Linked DNA regions of Lytechinus pictus. The protein of the gene in region 1 binds, or shares a complex with, the protein of each later gene. Links are inferred from orthologs where the notes say so. Each region holds a gene or a part of one and is shown on either strand. Other genes may lie near its edges.

Region 1 (7,085 bases):
CCTCAAACTTTCAACGATATGTTTCTTTGATTTTTCTCTTTGATATGGATTCAGCTGGTTTCAAGGGTTTCATTCTCCTTTAACACGTCCTTTTCGATCAGATCAAAACGTATATTAAAAATTTCTGCTCGCGCTCGCAGTAATTATTTGGTTGTTAATTGTTCAGGATCACAAACATACATGGACCTGTCCACGGAGGATTATTCTATTGTTACTGGGGGTGCTCAGGCTGAGCATTGTCGCAGCACCCCCAGTAACAATAGATAATCCTCCGTGGCCAGCTAGGTCCTTGCAAACATATACCCATCGAATGTTCTAATTTTAGGATCGACAACATGCATAAAACAATGATTAAAAAAATTAGCTCCCGATTTAAAAAAGGTGGTTTTGAAAGACTGGTCAATGGTCAATCGCGGGGTCAAACGTATATATTTATTTTAGGGTATGTTTGAAGCTTTTCATTCGGGCCCCGCATTCGGGTCATATTCTGGCGACAACTTATATAAGGAGCCAAAATGTGTAAATGAGCGAAGCCCGCGAAAAACTTGTTTATAGTCCAGGATAGAAGAGGCATAACCTTGTTTTTTCATATATACAATATTTTTTCATGGTTTCTTGTCAATTCGAGGGTGCTGATTACGAATCTGAATGATGCCACTTGTGTAACCTTGAGCATTTTCCGCAAATTGGCAAAATCCAATATGGCCGCCAAAATATGCAAATTACCCATGAAAATCATAAAATTGCCAGCAGACTGGCTACAAAATGTATTTAATTGTGTTGCAGGAGTGACATAATCTCTGAAAAAACGATTTTTGAAAAAAATATTTATTTTCTTCATATTAAAAATGGCCGCCATATACCCTATTATGTACAATGTGAATAGGGAAAAATATTTTTCACAAAAATATTCCCTAAACTGCAAGTAATTGTGATATATGGACGAAGTAATGTATGTAAATCATCAATGTTAACAAGATATATCATTTATCATGTCATGTATGGGAAAATTGTTGTATTTTATATTCAAAATAGCCGCCACTGGCCCAAAAAGTATTATGTACTACAGCAAAGGGGGCAAAAACAAATCACAAGAGTTAGCACTAAAATGCATATTATTAAAGTAAACGAGTGGAATGCTGACTAAAAACATAATTGTTCACAAAATATATTATTTAATATGCCATGTATGTGATAAATGTTGTATTTTGATATTCAAAATGGCCGCCAAAGGCCCTTAAAGTATTATGTACAATGGGAAAGAGGACCAATGAAATCACACGAGTGAGCACTGAAATGCATTTATTTGTGATAAATAATTGGGATACTGTCTAAAAAAACATAATTTTTAACGAAATATATCATTCAGGTTTTAAGTTTGTGTTATGATACTTTATTTTGACTTTCAAAATGGCCGCCATAAACATATATTGTATTATGTACAATGCGAACTAGGAAATCAATTTTCACAGGAGTGAGCACCATAAATGCACGTAATTCTGATCTATGAGTAAAATATTGTCTGAAAGTACAATTTCTAACAAAATATATCAGTTCTCCTGCCAGGTAGGTGAAAATACTGGATTTTGAAAGTCAAAATGGCCGCTACAGGCCCTAACATTATTATGTACAATGTGAATGGGGACAAATGATTTTAACAGATTTTCGCTTTGCTTGACTAAAAGGTGGTGTATGAGTGAAATATTGTCTAAAAACATGATTACTCACGAAATATATCATATTATATAAAATTTATGTGATTAATGTTATATTTCAAAATTGAAAATGGCCGCAATATGCCCTTGTGTGAAAATTCTCTGTCCTCATTCAAATTGTACATTATACAGTAAGGGCCTATGGCGGCCATTTACGATTTCAGAATGCAGCATTTGCCACCTTAATTACACCAGATATGATATATCTCGTTAGTAACCATGGTTTTAGACAATATTTCACTCTAACATCACAATTATATGCAATTCTTATAGTCAAGCAAAGCCAAATTCTGTCGAAATTATATGTACCAAATTACAATGTACATAACACTTTTAGGGCCTATGACAGCCATTTTGAATTTCAAAGTACAGCATTTATTACCTCCATGAGCAACATGGGATGTATTTAGTTAGAAATCATATTTAAGACAATATTTTTACTCGTACATCACAGCAACATGCATATTTTATGATTACCACTGAAAATAAGTTTCCCTAAACGCATGTAGCATAATTTAGTTAAAGGAGAATGAAACTCTTGGAGCAAGTTAGCTTTTGTGAAAGCAGAAAAATAAAAAAATAAGATCAACAAAAGTTTGAGTAAAATAGGACTAGCAATAAAAGAGTTATGAGCATTTGAATGTCGAGATCACTAATGCTATGGAGATCCTCCCATTGGCAATGCGACCAAGATCTGTGATGTCACACACGTACAACTCTCCCATTTGGACACTGAAAATATACCCCAAATATTTCTTTTTGCTCATTCTAATCATATGACAAACGATTCATCAATGATATAATGTTGTGAAACCTCTGTACTTGTCATCTCATAAAGAGAACACCTCACCTTGTGATAGACTCTATAAAAGTGAGAATATAAGTGAAATAAGTACTAAAGTAATGAGGGAGTTGTACGTGTGTGATATCACAGATCTTGGTCGCATTGCCGATGGGAGGATCTACATGGCACTAGTGATCTCAATATTCAAATGCTCATAACTTTCTTATTATTCATTCAATCTTCCTCAAACTTTGAACAATGTGTTCCTTTGATTTTTCTCTTTGATATGGATTCAGCTGGTTTCAAGGGTTTCATTCTCCTTTAAGGCTTGTAGCGGCTATTTTGAATGTCAAAATACAGTATATATCACTTACATGGCAGAAGAAATGCTATATTTCATAAAAATCATGCTTTCAAATAATATTTTACTCATACAAAAGGATTATATGGATTTCATAGTCAAGCAAATCCAAATTCTTACAAAATTATATGTCCCCATTTACATTGTAGATAATACTGTTAGGGCCTATAGGGGCCATTTTGAATTTAACAATACAGCATTTATCTCATGCATGACTAGAGAAATGATATGTTTAGCTAGAAAACGTGTTTTCAGACAATATTTTACTCGTATATCACAATTACATGCATTTTATGTACTTATTCTCGTGAAAATGAGTTTCTCCATTCGCATTGTACATAATGTATAATGGGCATATGGCGGCCATTTTGAATTTCAAAATACAGCATTTATCACATAAATTGCATCTCAAATATTATATTCCGTTAAAATTGAATTTTTAGCCAATATGCCACTCACTTATCTTAATTATATGCATTTTAGTACTCACTCTTGTGATTTTCTTTTGTCCCCATTAACATTATACATAATACTGTCAGGGCGTTTGGTGGCTTTTTGAATACTAAAATGTTTCATTTATTACACATATGACATAACAAATGATATATTTCGTTAGCAATCATGTTTTCATCCATTACTTCACAAAAAATCACAACTACTTGCATTTAGTGCTCACTTTTGTGAAAATTATTTTCCCCATTCATATTGTACATAAAGTTGAATACAGCGGTCTATGGCGGCCATTTTAAATATCAAGAAAATACATATTTTTTTCAAAAATCGTTTTTTCAGAGAGTATTTCACTCCTGCAACACAATTACATACATTTTATAGCCAATCTACTGGCAATTTTATGATTTTCATGGGTAATTTGCACATTTTGGCGGCCATATTATTTTGCCAATTTGCGGAAAATGCTCAAGGTTACACGAGTGGCATCATTCAGATTCGTAATCAGCACCCTCGAATTGACAAGAAACCATGAAAAAATATTGTATGTATGAAAAAACAAGGTTTGGACAATTTTCTATGGGGCCTATCCTGGACTATTACGGGGTCATTTTGCACACAGAAAAAAACTCGTTTTTTTAGGGGGGTGTTTGGAAATAATTTGGTCACGCATGTGTGCAGCAATACATTTGACTTCCCCCAGCCCCCCCCCCCCCGGGATTTTTAGACATTTTTATTCTCGCGCGCTTGAAAGATATGGGTCTATGGCGCATGCGCATATGAAAAATTGGCCCATGGCGGCCATCTTCGGAAATAGTACACGCTCTCTAAATTACGTCAGGTTCGTTTAGTTTTAATTTCGTTAATACCACATTTCATTCTGTATCATTCTATTGTATTGATTCCGTCAATAAAGATCTTTATTTTTTGTTAATTTCAAAGCGTTTTGGATATTTGAAGAATAAATATCATTCAATCTTTGTAGCAGATGTTGCACGTTAATGTCAAGTAGGTTCTTCATCTTGGTCCCAGTCGTTCAAATACATGTATGGTAATAAGTAGACCAAAAGCTTCGGTCTCTGTTATGTTGGTTGTTCAGCTGAACTCCGTTGGCTTCACTCACCAAATACAGAGACCGAAGTTCTAGCGCGATCTGTACAGGGGACTCAATGGCCATATGTTTATGTACTTAAGATCGGATAAAACGGGGAAGTGAATTTGCGCGACAGCCGAGGTAAGTCACTGTTTTTGTTCCTTTTAACTTGATTTTTCTCAGTTTTTTGGCAATTAATGCCAAGAGGGAATATTAATTTGCATTTTGGTCGCGTTAATTTGCAAAATTTTTATTCATTAAATACAAAAATTGAAGAGCCCCGACGGGGGGATTTTGCATTGCAAGTCCCCTAATGGTGGCTGCACGCTAGCGAGCCGTCTGTGTACGACTACGAGGAGAAATTTAAAAAAAAAAAAGTTAAAAAACTCCTCGAAACAGACGGCTGCCAGCTGTCTAGGTAATAAGGTGCCCGAACTGAAGGAAAAGTCTGCGCAGTGCCAGTGGCTTTTTTCTGCCTGCGCCTAACTTACATGTATGATGGGGGGACCTAAAGCTACTTACTTTGTTTTCAAACGATATAGACTATGCCAATTTTAATATTTGAACAAAAATATATCGGGTCAACTCGGACCACGGGACATCTCGGACCGCGGGCCGAGTTGTCCCACCCATTACGAGATTTTTTTTCTCACAAATCTGCGTCTATTTTTCCGTCATTTCGTAATTTCTTGTAAAGATTTTCTAGAGATATGGTCTGATGGTAATGTTCTTCACTTTCTATTACTTTTTTTCGCTGAAATAAAAAAAAAGGTGTAATTTTAGGCGTTTTTCGACAGCTCGCGATTCCCATAGGCGCGCGTGTATTAACCGTGTCGGTGCTCGGCTCGGCCCCACTCAACAACTGACTTGATTTTGTGATCATTTCTCCTCAAGTTACCACTTTTATCGCAGAAGATGGACTTTCTTGTATTCCATTAACTCCATTTTCTCATCACAAGAATAAAATTTGGTGCATTTGCACGATTTTGTTAAAGTTTTTCACCTTTTCTCTCTGGTCGCAAGAAGCGAACAACCGATGAACGGTCCGCTGCTCTTCATCGCAATTCTACGTAGCTCGGCCGCCTAAACTGGCGGGGTGGGATTCAGCCCGAATCCTCAATGGAAGTGGGCGTGCACAGTCAAAGAGCTGAGCTTGACTGAGTGAGAGAGTGAACTAGAGCTTGAAGTTTGGCAGTGTCGTATAGGCTCTGCCTTTTTTTGTAAATATTTATATATTTTTTTATTTTCCCTGGTGTAGAGCTTTAAGATAATAATTTAATATACTTCAATTTCTTTGACTGAGTGTGACTGTGGTGTGGATGTTTGAGTCGCACAAAAAATACTTTTACGAGGGTGGGGGCTCGGGGCGATTTCACTCCTGCCCCCGAAATGTGAAAAAAATATTCGCAGTGTAGATGTGTGGGCATGCCGTGCTGAGGGTAGCCATCAATAATAAATGTTTATTTGGGGGCTTAATTTTTAACTTCAAATTGATTATTTTTAGGCCTATTTTTTTTTTCATTTCATTTTATTTTTTTATATTGAGTGTCCCTGGTGTAGAGAGCTGAGTTTTAAGTTGTAATAATCAATATGCTTCAATTTCTTTGACTTTGAGTGTGACTGTGGTGTGGATGTTTGAGTCGCACAAAATATACTTTTACGAGGGTGGGGGCTCGGGGCGATTTCACTCCTGCCCCCGAAATGTGAAAAAATAAATATTCGGGGTGTAGCTGTGTGGGCATGCCGGGATGAGGGTAGCCATCAATAATAAATGTTTATTTGGGGGCTTAATTTTTAACTTCAAATTGATTATTTTTAGGCCTATTTTTTTTTTCATTTCATTTTATTTTTTTATATTGAGTGTCCCTGGTGTAGAGAGCTGAGTTTTAAGTTGTAATAATCAATATGCTTCAATTTCTTTGACTTTGAGTGTGACTGTGGTGTGGATGTTTGAGTCGCACAAAATATACTTTTACGTTGGTGGGGGCTCGGGGCGATTTCACTCCTGCCCCCGAAATGTGAAAAAATATTCGCAGTGTAGATGTGTTGGCATGCCGGGCTGAGGGTAGCCATCAATAATAAATGTTTATTTGGGGGCTTAATTTTTAACTTCAAATTGATTATTTTTAGGCCTTTTTTTTTTCTTTTTTTATTATTTTTATATTGAGTTTCCCTGGTGTAGAGAGCCGAGTTTTAAGTTGCAATAATCAATATGCTTCAATTTCTTTGACTTTGAGTGCGACTGTGGTGTGGATGTTTGAGTCGCTCAAAAAATACTTATACGTGGATGGGGGCTCGGAGCCTCTTCACTCCTGCCCCCGAAATGTGAAAATGTTCTAGGTGTATCTGTGTGGGCATGCCAATTTCATTTTTATTTTTTATATTGAGTTTCCCTGGTGTAGAGAGCCGAGTTTTGGAGATGGTGAGAGGGGCGAGGATGTGAGGGATGGCGATGATGAGGGGTGGGCCTTGATGATAAGAGGGACGAGGAGGTGAGAGATGGTGATGATGAGAGGGATGATAATTTTTGATGACTCTTAATGAGAGGGGGGGGGGGTGATGAGAGGGATGAAGGTAATGAAAGAGATGGAGATGAGGATGATGAAACGGACGAGGATGTGAGGGATGGCGATGATGAGGGATGGGCCTTGATGATGAGAGGGACGAGGAGGTGAGGGATGG
Region 2 (8,015 bases), about 7.5 Mb from region 1:
GATTTATGTGTGTGTGTTGTGTTTTTTGGTTGAAAATACTATTTTCAATCTCAAAATAGAACAGGCTTCTCGCACGGTCAATGTAAGCCCAAACATAATATTAGTCTGGACCTATATTATGCATGCATATTGCTTAGACGTGTATAAAGTGAAAAAAATAAACAAAACTTAATATACACCCTGGTTTTCGGCATGAATATTTTACAAAATTTATAGGCAATTTCCAAATTTTAAGCAAAGACCTTAGAAATGTATAAAGCATTGCTGTATAAACATTTATTCAAACTTTAAACAACACATGATCAGCCCATCAACCGAGTGAGTTAACTGTTATACCCTGATTATGCATGGATCACAAAGTCAGAAAAACAAGCCATGGTATGCTGGTATGGAAGAACACTTGAATTCTTAAAAAAAATATTTACAAAAGATGACGTTGGAAACAAACTCCGGAGTAAAAATGACCGGTGTGGTCCTTTATACTTTATAAATCTAAACAGAAAAAAAAACATTGTTTACAATGTTACAAATCCGTTTAATCTATGGACTTTACAACTGCCTCCCCCCCCCCTTGAAAGTGAAGACTTTTTTTTTGCTTGTTAAACTTCTTTGTGGACGAAATGTCCTTAACTTTTTCTTAAAAACTTTTTTTTCCTTGTCAAATTTTTCCTCGGCAAAATGTGCCCCTCCCGCCCTTTGGAAAATCCTGGATCCGCCCCTGGCCTTTACAGTAGTTGTGTAAACAAGTGCTTAAAATCTTAAACAACTAACATTTTCAATATTTAATCTTCACTAGATTAAACATTCTTGTTTTAAACTGTTATACAGCTGTTTGAAAGTTCATATAGTAAACAGCGTTGTATAAATATTAAACAACGCTTTTACTGTGTAAACCAAGTTTTTGCTGCGTGAAATAATTTTCCTACCTTCTTGTTTGTATCTTCGTTGTACTCATCTTCCATTACTTTAATCATGGTGTCCTTTAATTGAAAATAATACGACCTTTCAGCGCGCTTGGAAATGACATTAGATGCCATCGTGGCTCCTCCAGAAAAGAATGTCAGTATAATGGTTTGCATAATACAGTTATATATAGGCTCTGATTAAATAATATATTTTATGACGGCGACAATGAAAACGGAATTTAACTATTTCTCGTTATATTGAACGATTCAAGGCTGCTGAACAGATTTTTGAACAATGAAGCTTTAAATCTTTGTCATTGACATACAAAAGATTGACCACAGCGACTGACGTCAATAATGATCAAGGCCATGCAGTGCCAATGCAAATCCATTGAATATAACGATTTTTTTACTTTGTTCCCATCATTGTCCTGATTCTTTCATTATTTTTTAATCCTATTTCATCATACCCTATGTTATGTTTTTCCGTTTTTGTTTTGTTTTCTTCCCACTTTCTTCAACATTTTTCAAGTAATTTACATGGAAAGGTCTGCCTTCGCGCCCAAGCTTTGATTTCCAGTTGGTTCTTTTTTGTTCTAGATTATTTGTTGTTTTGCATTATAAATGTTTGTTGAAATTGAAGTGAAAAAATAATAAATTCAACAAATGCGAAACAATCAATCAATCAATCAATATTTGAATTATAAACAGAGACGGTGGCACCACGGGGAGGGGGGGGGGAGAAGGAGGAAAATGGGGGCAAAAGAGGAATAAGATAAAAACCAATAATAAAGTGAAATAAAGATAAAAGGAAGATGACTAACGAGAGGTCTGTGTTGTGTAACTCTGTAAAAAGCTGAAAATATCTCAATAATTCAATTGAGAAAAAAATATGACGACATCTTTATGCCTCTCCCCCCCCCCTCCCTCCATCAATATACCCTGGTCTGTATATATGCATACATCCCTTTCTGTGTTCATAAAAAGTCCGTTTAATTGCAATATATCTAGAGATTTTATGTAATTTATCTTCACAAGTTTGAGATATGACTAGAGCAAAAGTAAAGCGCGCACCTGCCACTACCTCCACACCCCCCCCCCTCCCCTCCCCCTCTCTCTATCTCTCTCAGATATACACAAGTAGGTAGTGTTATTCAGGATTCGGAGATCCATTGGTCCAATGGCATAAACTTTTTAAATACAATTATTACAATATAAAAAAGGGTACTTATGATCCATAGCATACCAACCATCAATGAATAAGTTCAAGTCCGCGAAAGGCAAACGCAGCATTAAACATGTTGAATGCATTATTGAAACAATTAAAAAGAGAAAGACCGTCATGATTAACAAAGTCGGTAATATGACCAAAAATAACAATAAACAATAAATTTGGCCGGATCTAAGGATGTGGTCAATATATACATAAAATTGTCTCTAAAATTCCTCATTCTGGTCACGATCACAGACAACTTGAAGGCCAAATTTGTCATTTCCTTTGCGACCTTCCAAGTGGTTATTTGATCTTTGGTCCAACAGTCAACAGTTTCTAATCCAATCCAAAGGTCATTTGATATGTCGCCTTTTCCTTTCAGTTACAAAGCGCTGCGCACACACTTCTCCATATTTGGGCAACTAACTAAAACAATATTATAATTAAACACCTCAAAAATGGTCAGCTTAGTCCATGCAATTCATTGTCCTTTATAGCAAAATGCTAATGGCAATGGTTTAGCAAACGGCTCTTTTCTAATGGCAATAGTAATGGTTTAGCAAATGGCTTTTTTCTTATGGCAATAGTAATGGTAGTTAGCAAATGGCTTTTTTCTAATGATAATAAGGGCTATCGGATCCAGATTTCCACAAGTGCCGGAATCAGGGGGCAGAAAAGTGTTCTGAGAATAAATTGTTTTAAAAACAACAAAAAGGGGTTCCCGTCCCGGCTCCCAATCTCCTGATTGCCTTAAAAAGAGTATACATGCAAATAAGGGGGGGGGGGGTGGTCCCGATCACTATACACCCTCCCCCAAAAAAGAGAGAAAAATATCACCACTATCTACAACAACAATAAAACTCAGAATTGGGGACGTAATTTTCACCCTCACTGCCAAAGGATTTAATGCAAGTGGTACTTCCATACTCTATGGGTGACATGGGAATAAATGTCATCGTCATTGTCAGCTTTGGACGAGGGCCACGCGTGCACTAGCTCGTTATTAAAAGGTATCAAAAACACAGATTTAAAAAAATTGTGGTTTTGAAAGACTAGTGGTCAATGGTCAGTCGCGGGGTCAAACGTATATAGAGTATATTTTTTTTCCAAAGTTTTTTTTTTTTTAAGACTAGCCAAACGTATAAGTTATGTTTTTTCCCCTTAGCATTTCCCCGGGTTTTTTTATTATTACCTGGTGAATTTTGGATGACACTTATTTAGAGTGTTAATTAGTTTAGGCCTATTCTCTAACTGCACTGGGGGTAAGCAATACCCATGAATAAGGTTTTTCTATAAACTTAATTGTTAGCAAGTAAACAAAACTTGTTTAGGGGTCATATATTCTGGCGACAACTTGTTTAGATCCAGGAGCCAAAATGTGTAAATGAAGCCCGCGAAAAAAAACTTGTTTAGGGGGTTATTTTGCACAATAATTTGGTCACGCATGTGTACAGCAATACATTTGACTGCCCCCCGGCCTTTATTGGGCCTATTTTTTTTTTTTTCGTGTCAAAGATTTTGGATGTGGAAAAAAAAGTTGGCCTATATAATTGCTGACTCAGTTGCGGTCAAACTGTACTGCTGGCATTAAAAAGAAAAAAGAAAAAAAAAACGTCTGGCTGGATCCGCATCCGAAAAAAGAAAAAGAAATGTACATGTAATTGCTAATCCAATTACCTGATATAATTCCTATGGTGTGGTCTATAGTGTGGAACGTATTTGAAGTTCTGCCAGTGAAATTTAAATCACATAACGCTGAAACTATTTGAAATATCATAAGTGCAAAATAAATTATCATGTAGGGCCTATACAATGAGTTACCCTTTGTTTTGACGTCAATTTTCCCTGTTTTAATTTTGGATTGGTATTTTACTCATTTCATTGTGTTGTTTGTACACACCCTTCTCTCTATAGATCTCTTGTCACTAGCGTACCTAAGGGGGGCAGGGGGAAGACTGCCCCCCTGACGAGTCACAACTCATGCAGGGGACGTAACCCTGCCCCCCAGCCCCCCCTGACGAGAACGTGAAGACCTTTTTATTTATTTATTTTTAAATTTGCTTGTGCAATTTTTTTTGTGGTTGAAGACCTTTTTTTTCTCCTTTTTTTTTGCTTGTCAATTTTTTTTTAACCTTTATTTGTGGTTGAAGACCTTTTTTTTTGGTGGGGGGGGGGGGGGCCGGGGCTTGTCTAAATTTTTCGCGGACGAAATATCCTCCAAAAATTTTTCCCCCCTTCTGGAAAATCCTAGGTACGCCAGTGTCTCTTGTTTTACTTTGCAATCTCAACACTTTTCCCTTTGTAAAAATCTTTATAGGCCTATCATTTTCTTGTTCTTTTTCGATTGCCGCTGTCTTAATATGTCTTTCAAAATATTAATATCTATATCTTTATTATTTCTCTCATATTGCTTATTTGTATATTTCCTTTGTTCTTTTTCTGTAGACTTAGTTTTGTAATCTTATTTAAGTTCTTTACACGTATCATATCCTATAATTTGTTCTGGCAATAGCTTATTAGCTTTATTCCCGGCATTATTCTTTATAAGCTTTCCTCTTTCTTTCAAAATGTCATCAGTTTTGTGTGAGTTTTTTTAAAACCTGAATCCTTCAATCCTATATGTAACCCCTTAATTCTATGTTTGTTGTGTTGAAAGTTTGTTTTATCTTGTTATTTTTTTTAAAACTACCATGTAAAAAGTCTAGGTCTCACAATAAAAGAAATAAAAGAACTATGTGGACGGGAAATATAGTTTTGCATACACGGGTCCAAAGATACTACCCCTTGTTTGTAGAATCTTTGACGGTACGACAAAGTGTAAATAGTCGAACTTTGCGGCTTGCCGCCGATCTCCGAAGACCGGAGGAAGAAAATATACAAGGACAAGTTAGTACGCCGTGCAAGTAGTCGGTAACTTCAGCTGTATCGTCATCATAGACCTTCATCTCCGGCGAATGGTTGTAAATCACCAATTTATTACAGGATTTTTCAGGATTTTCCATCTTCATATTATATGCGTACTCTATTTTACTATGGGTTACTCTAATAAACTTACAGAAGAAGAGGAAATGCTCCAGAAAAAGTTCGCAAAACTAAGGAAGAAGGTAATCGCAACTCATCATACTGTCCCATACATATGAATTTGTGTTTGTAAATTCTAGGCCTATACAAATTTAAGTCGCACTGATGACTGAACTCAGTCAAGCCAATAGGCTAATGAATAGGCAATAAGGGTTCATTATGCCGCGCCGCCGGGCCGTGCACGGGAAAATCAAGGCACGACGCATGAAACTTTCACTATGAGCTGATCCTTCCACTTCTTTGCCTTTGGAGATACCTGGGGTCCAGATAAAACGCTTCCATGCGATTTCACGAAATAATTTTATACGAAATCTAAGATTCTAACGTTAAAATCTAAATTCTAATCAAAATTCAAATTGTTCCATTTGAAATTAATTTAATGGAACAATTTGGAATTTGAAATGCCAATGCAGCCAGTGCCAGTGGGCTTTATTTCAATTTGAAATGGCATGGTGTTTTCATCTTACCTTCTTAGTTAGGCCTATGTAGTCTGCATTACACGAAGAACTTTCCCCATAGGCACACAGTAGACGGATTCCCTGCACGCTGATTGGCTGATCGCGCGACCCTCTTCCCTTCCTCGCCCAGCGCTGTGTGTGAGAATCTTTACACCGCGCGATCGGCTGACTCACGGAGCACAACACTCTGTCGGGTAAAGATGCCAGCGTGTAGATTTCGGGCGCATGTTCGGATGATATCGGCACTTCGGCAGGCAGTGTCCGAAGTCTAAGCAAAACATGTGGTTTTCATCGGGTTACGCAAGGCCGAAGGTCGCTTGCATAAATTGTATTTGCATAGAGTACAGTGCACAGCGTATTTATAATGTACATGTATACTTGTCTGTACTGAATTCTGCGTTGCCCCCGCGATAGATGAATTTCCTGGTAGCCTGCCTTATGATTAGATGCTCGGCGCAGACTTCATTAATTAACTTTGTTTTTTAATAGAATCATTTGATGTTATAAAAGAGTGTATTTGTAGGATGTTTGAACCCTGAAAGGCAGTACATTACTACATTTTATTAGAGCATATTATAAGTTGTATTTTCTGTGTGCTTACGAGAATTCATGTACTTGTGACACTTTGTCTGGAGTGTGGGAGTGCTTCTAGACTAGCATGAGTCTACCCAGTTGTATGGACAGGTTGTGTGTCCGGACGATCAATTTTAGAAAGTCATTTGGAAAAATTTACAAGCGAAGTTTCATCAATTTTTAGTACAAGATATTAGGAAATATTATGGAGAACAAGATGATTACAACCATTGAATTCATACTTTTAGTGTAATGCAAAGACAAAAAGAAGGCTTCAAAAATATAGTGTCCGGACGCCCGACCCCCCCCCCCCCTCCCCATCGTACAACTACGAGAGTGAGAACGAATGTGACGTGATTGTGTGTTATAATTTTCATATTCTATTTGACTTAATTGTTGGTTTATAATTCAATTATTTTTCATTAACTATTTGACAATTTTCTGTTTTGCTGGACAATATCATTATAAGAGTTTGAGTATTCAATATCTTTGTATTATGCATTTCTACTCGAGCTAAGGTGTTTCATCAACTTTCAGACAGGAATCTTAGAAATCAATTTTAACAGAAAATATTTTTTTGTCTAAAATTGATTTTACATGATATATCAAAGTGATTGTTTTCAGAAAGGTGGTTTAATCAACGATCTAAAATGGGATTATTTAAAATTCACAATAGTCATATAAAATATATTTTCTATATTAAAAAATTATTTTCATTGTCAATATATTGAGATTGAAGAAACACATGTAATTACAATGACTGAAATGTTTTAACATTATTACAGCTAGTATTATTGTTCTACTGAACAATTCAATAAAGATATTGAGCTATTAACTTTTTGTTTATTTCGTTCATGTTCACGAAAATATTATACTTTTGCATTTTATTGGAAAATGAAATACTCTCCCTCCCCATACCATCTCCCCCAATTCCCTCAGTCCTAAACGTTGTTTACAATAAATGGTTATCATTTAATACCAATATAGGGTTTTTGGTGGTTTTTCCTCACTCCGATGTGCTGAGAAAATAGAAATTCCAAAAAAGGGGTAGACTCCGATCTCCCTGGTCTAATCATGGACTAATTATCTGGATGCCGATGGTAATGTAATTTTCTTACCCATTTTGAAACATGGTGCATAATAATGGAATGTTTATATTAGATGACAAGAATATATCTGACCTCTATTATATCAAAGTGCAAACAATATTTTATGTAATAGCTTTCAGGCTTTAACATGTCACAGCCACGGCAATGGTGACATTTCATGAAATAATTGTGAATGTATTTATGAAGATATCGTCAGTACCTAACAATGTAAATAAGATACCATATATGTAACCGTATGTTATCTATGGTGATTGGGAAATCTATACCTTGGATCGGGAGGGGTACGTGATTCAACAGATTCCAATAGAAGTTCACATTCAACAATCTGACAAGACTTCATGAAGCATATTTCTGATGGAATTGAACAATTCATCGAAAGATATAGATATCATGTTAATTGATTTGTCTGAACGTTTAGGAGCATGTATTTCGTCTGTTCACCCCTATCTCTACACGAGTTGATACTATTTTTATTTGAATATCGTTGGAAATTTCGATGAATTGTTCAATTTCAATTGTCTTTATATATTTTATATCTGAATAACGCTTCAAAAATAGTTATCTTTACAACGGCATCGGCCTAATTTGTAAGAGTGCCTATTTATGAAATGATAGTTGGAATGTGAACAAGAACACTCGGCCCTAAAGCCGATGGCACGTGATCGAATTAGTATTG

The links. Proteins that work in one complex are often made in the same cells at the same time.
Region 2: negative elongation factor B-like (region 1) and negative elongation factor E-like share a complex: the UniProt entries of both Drosophila melanogaster proteins name them as parts of the NELF complex. The link is inferred for Lytechinus pictus from reciprocal best matches to the Drosophila melanogaster genes NELF-B and Nelf-E.

What each region holds. Positions count from the first base shown.
Region 1 is NC_087259.1:18,429,818-18,436,902, forward strand, and holds the start of negative elongation factor B-like, read left to right. Parts: upstream 1-4,083; 5' UTR 4,084-4,151; intron 4,152-7,085. UniProt on the Drosophila melanogaster protein: Essential component of the NELF complex, a complex that negatively regulates the elongation of transcription by RNA polymerase II.
Region 2 is NC_087259.1:10,932,741-10,940,755, forward strand, and holds the start of negative elongation factor E-like, read left to right. Parts: upstream 1-4,992; 5' UTR 4,993-5,072; coding exon 5,073-5,222; intron 5,223-8,015. UniProt on the Drosophila melanogaster protein: Essential component of the NELF complex, a complex that negatively regulates the elongation of transcription by RNA polymerase II by RNA polymerase II. The NELF complex, which acts via an association with the DSIF complex, causes transcriptional pausing.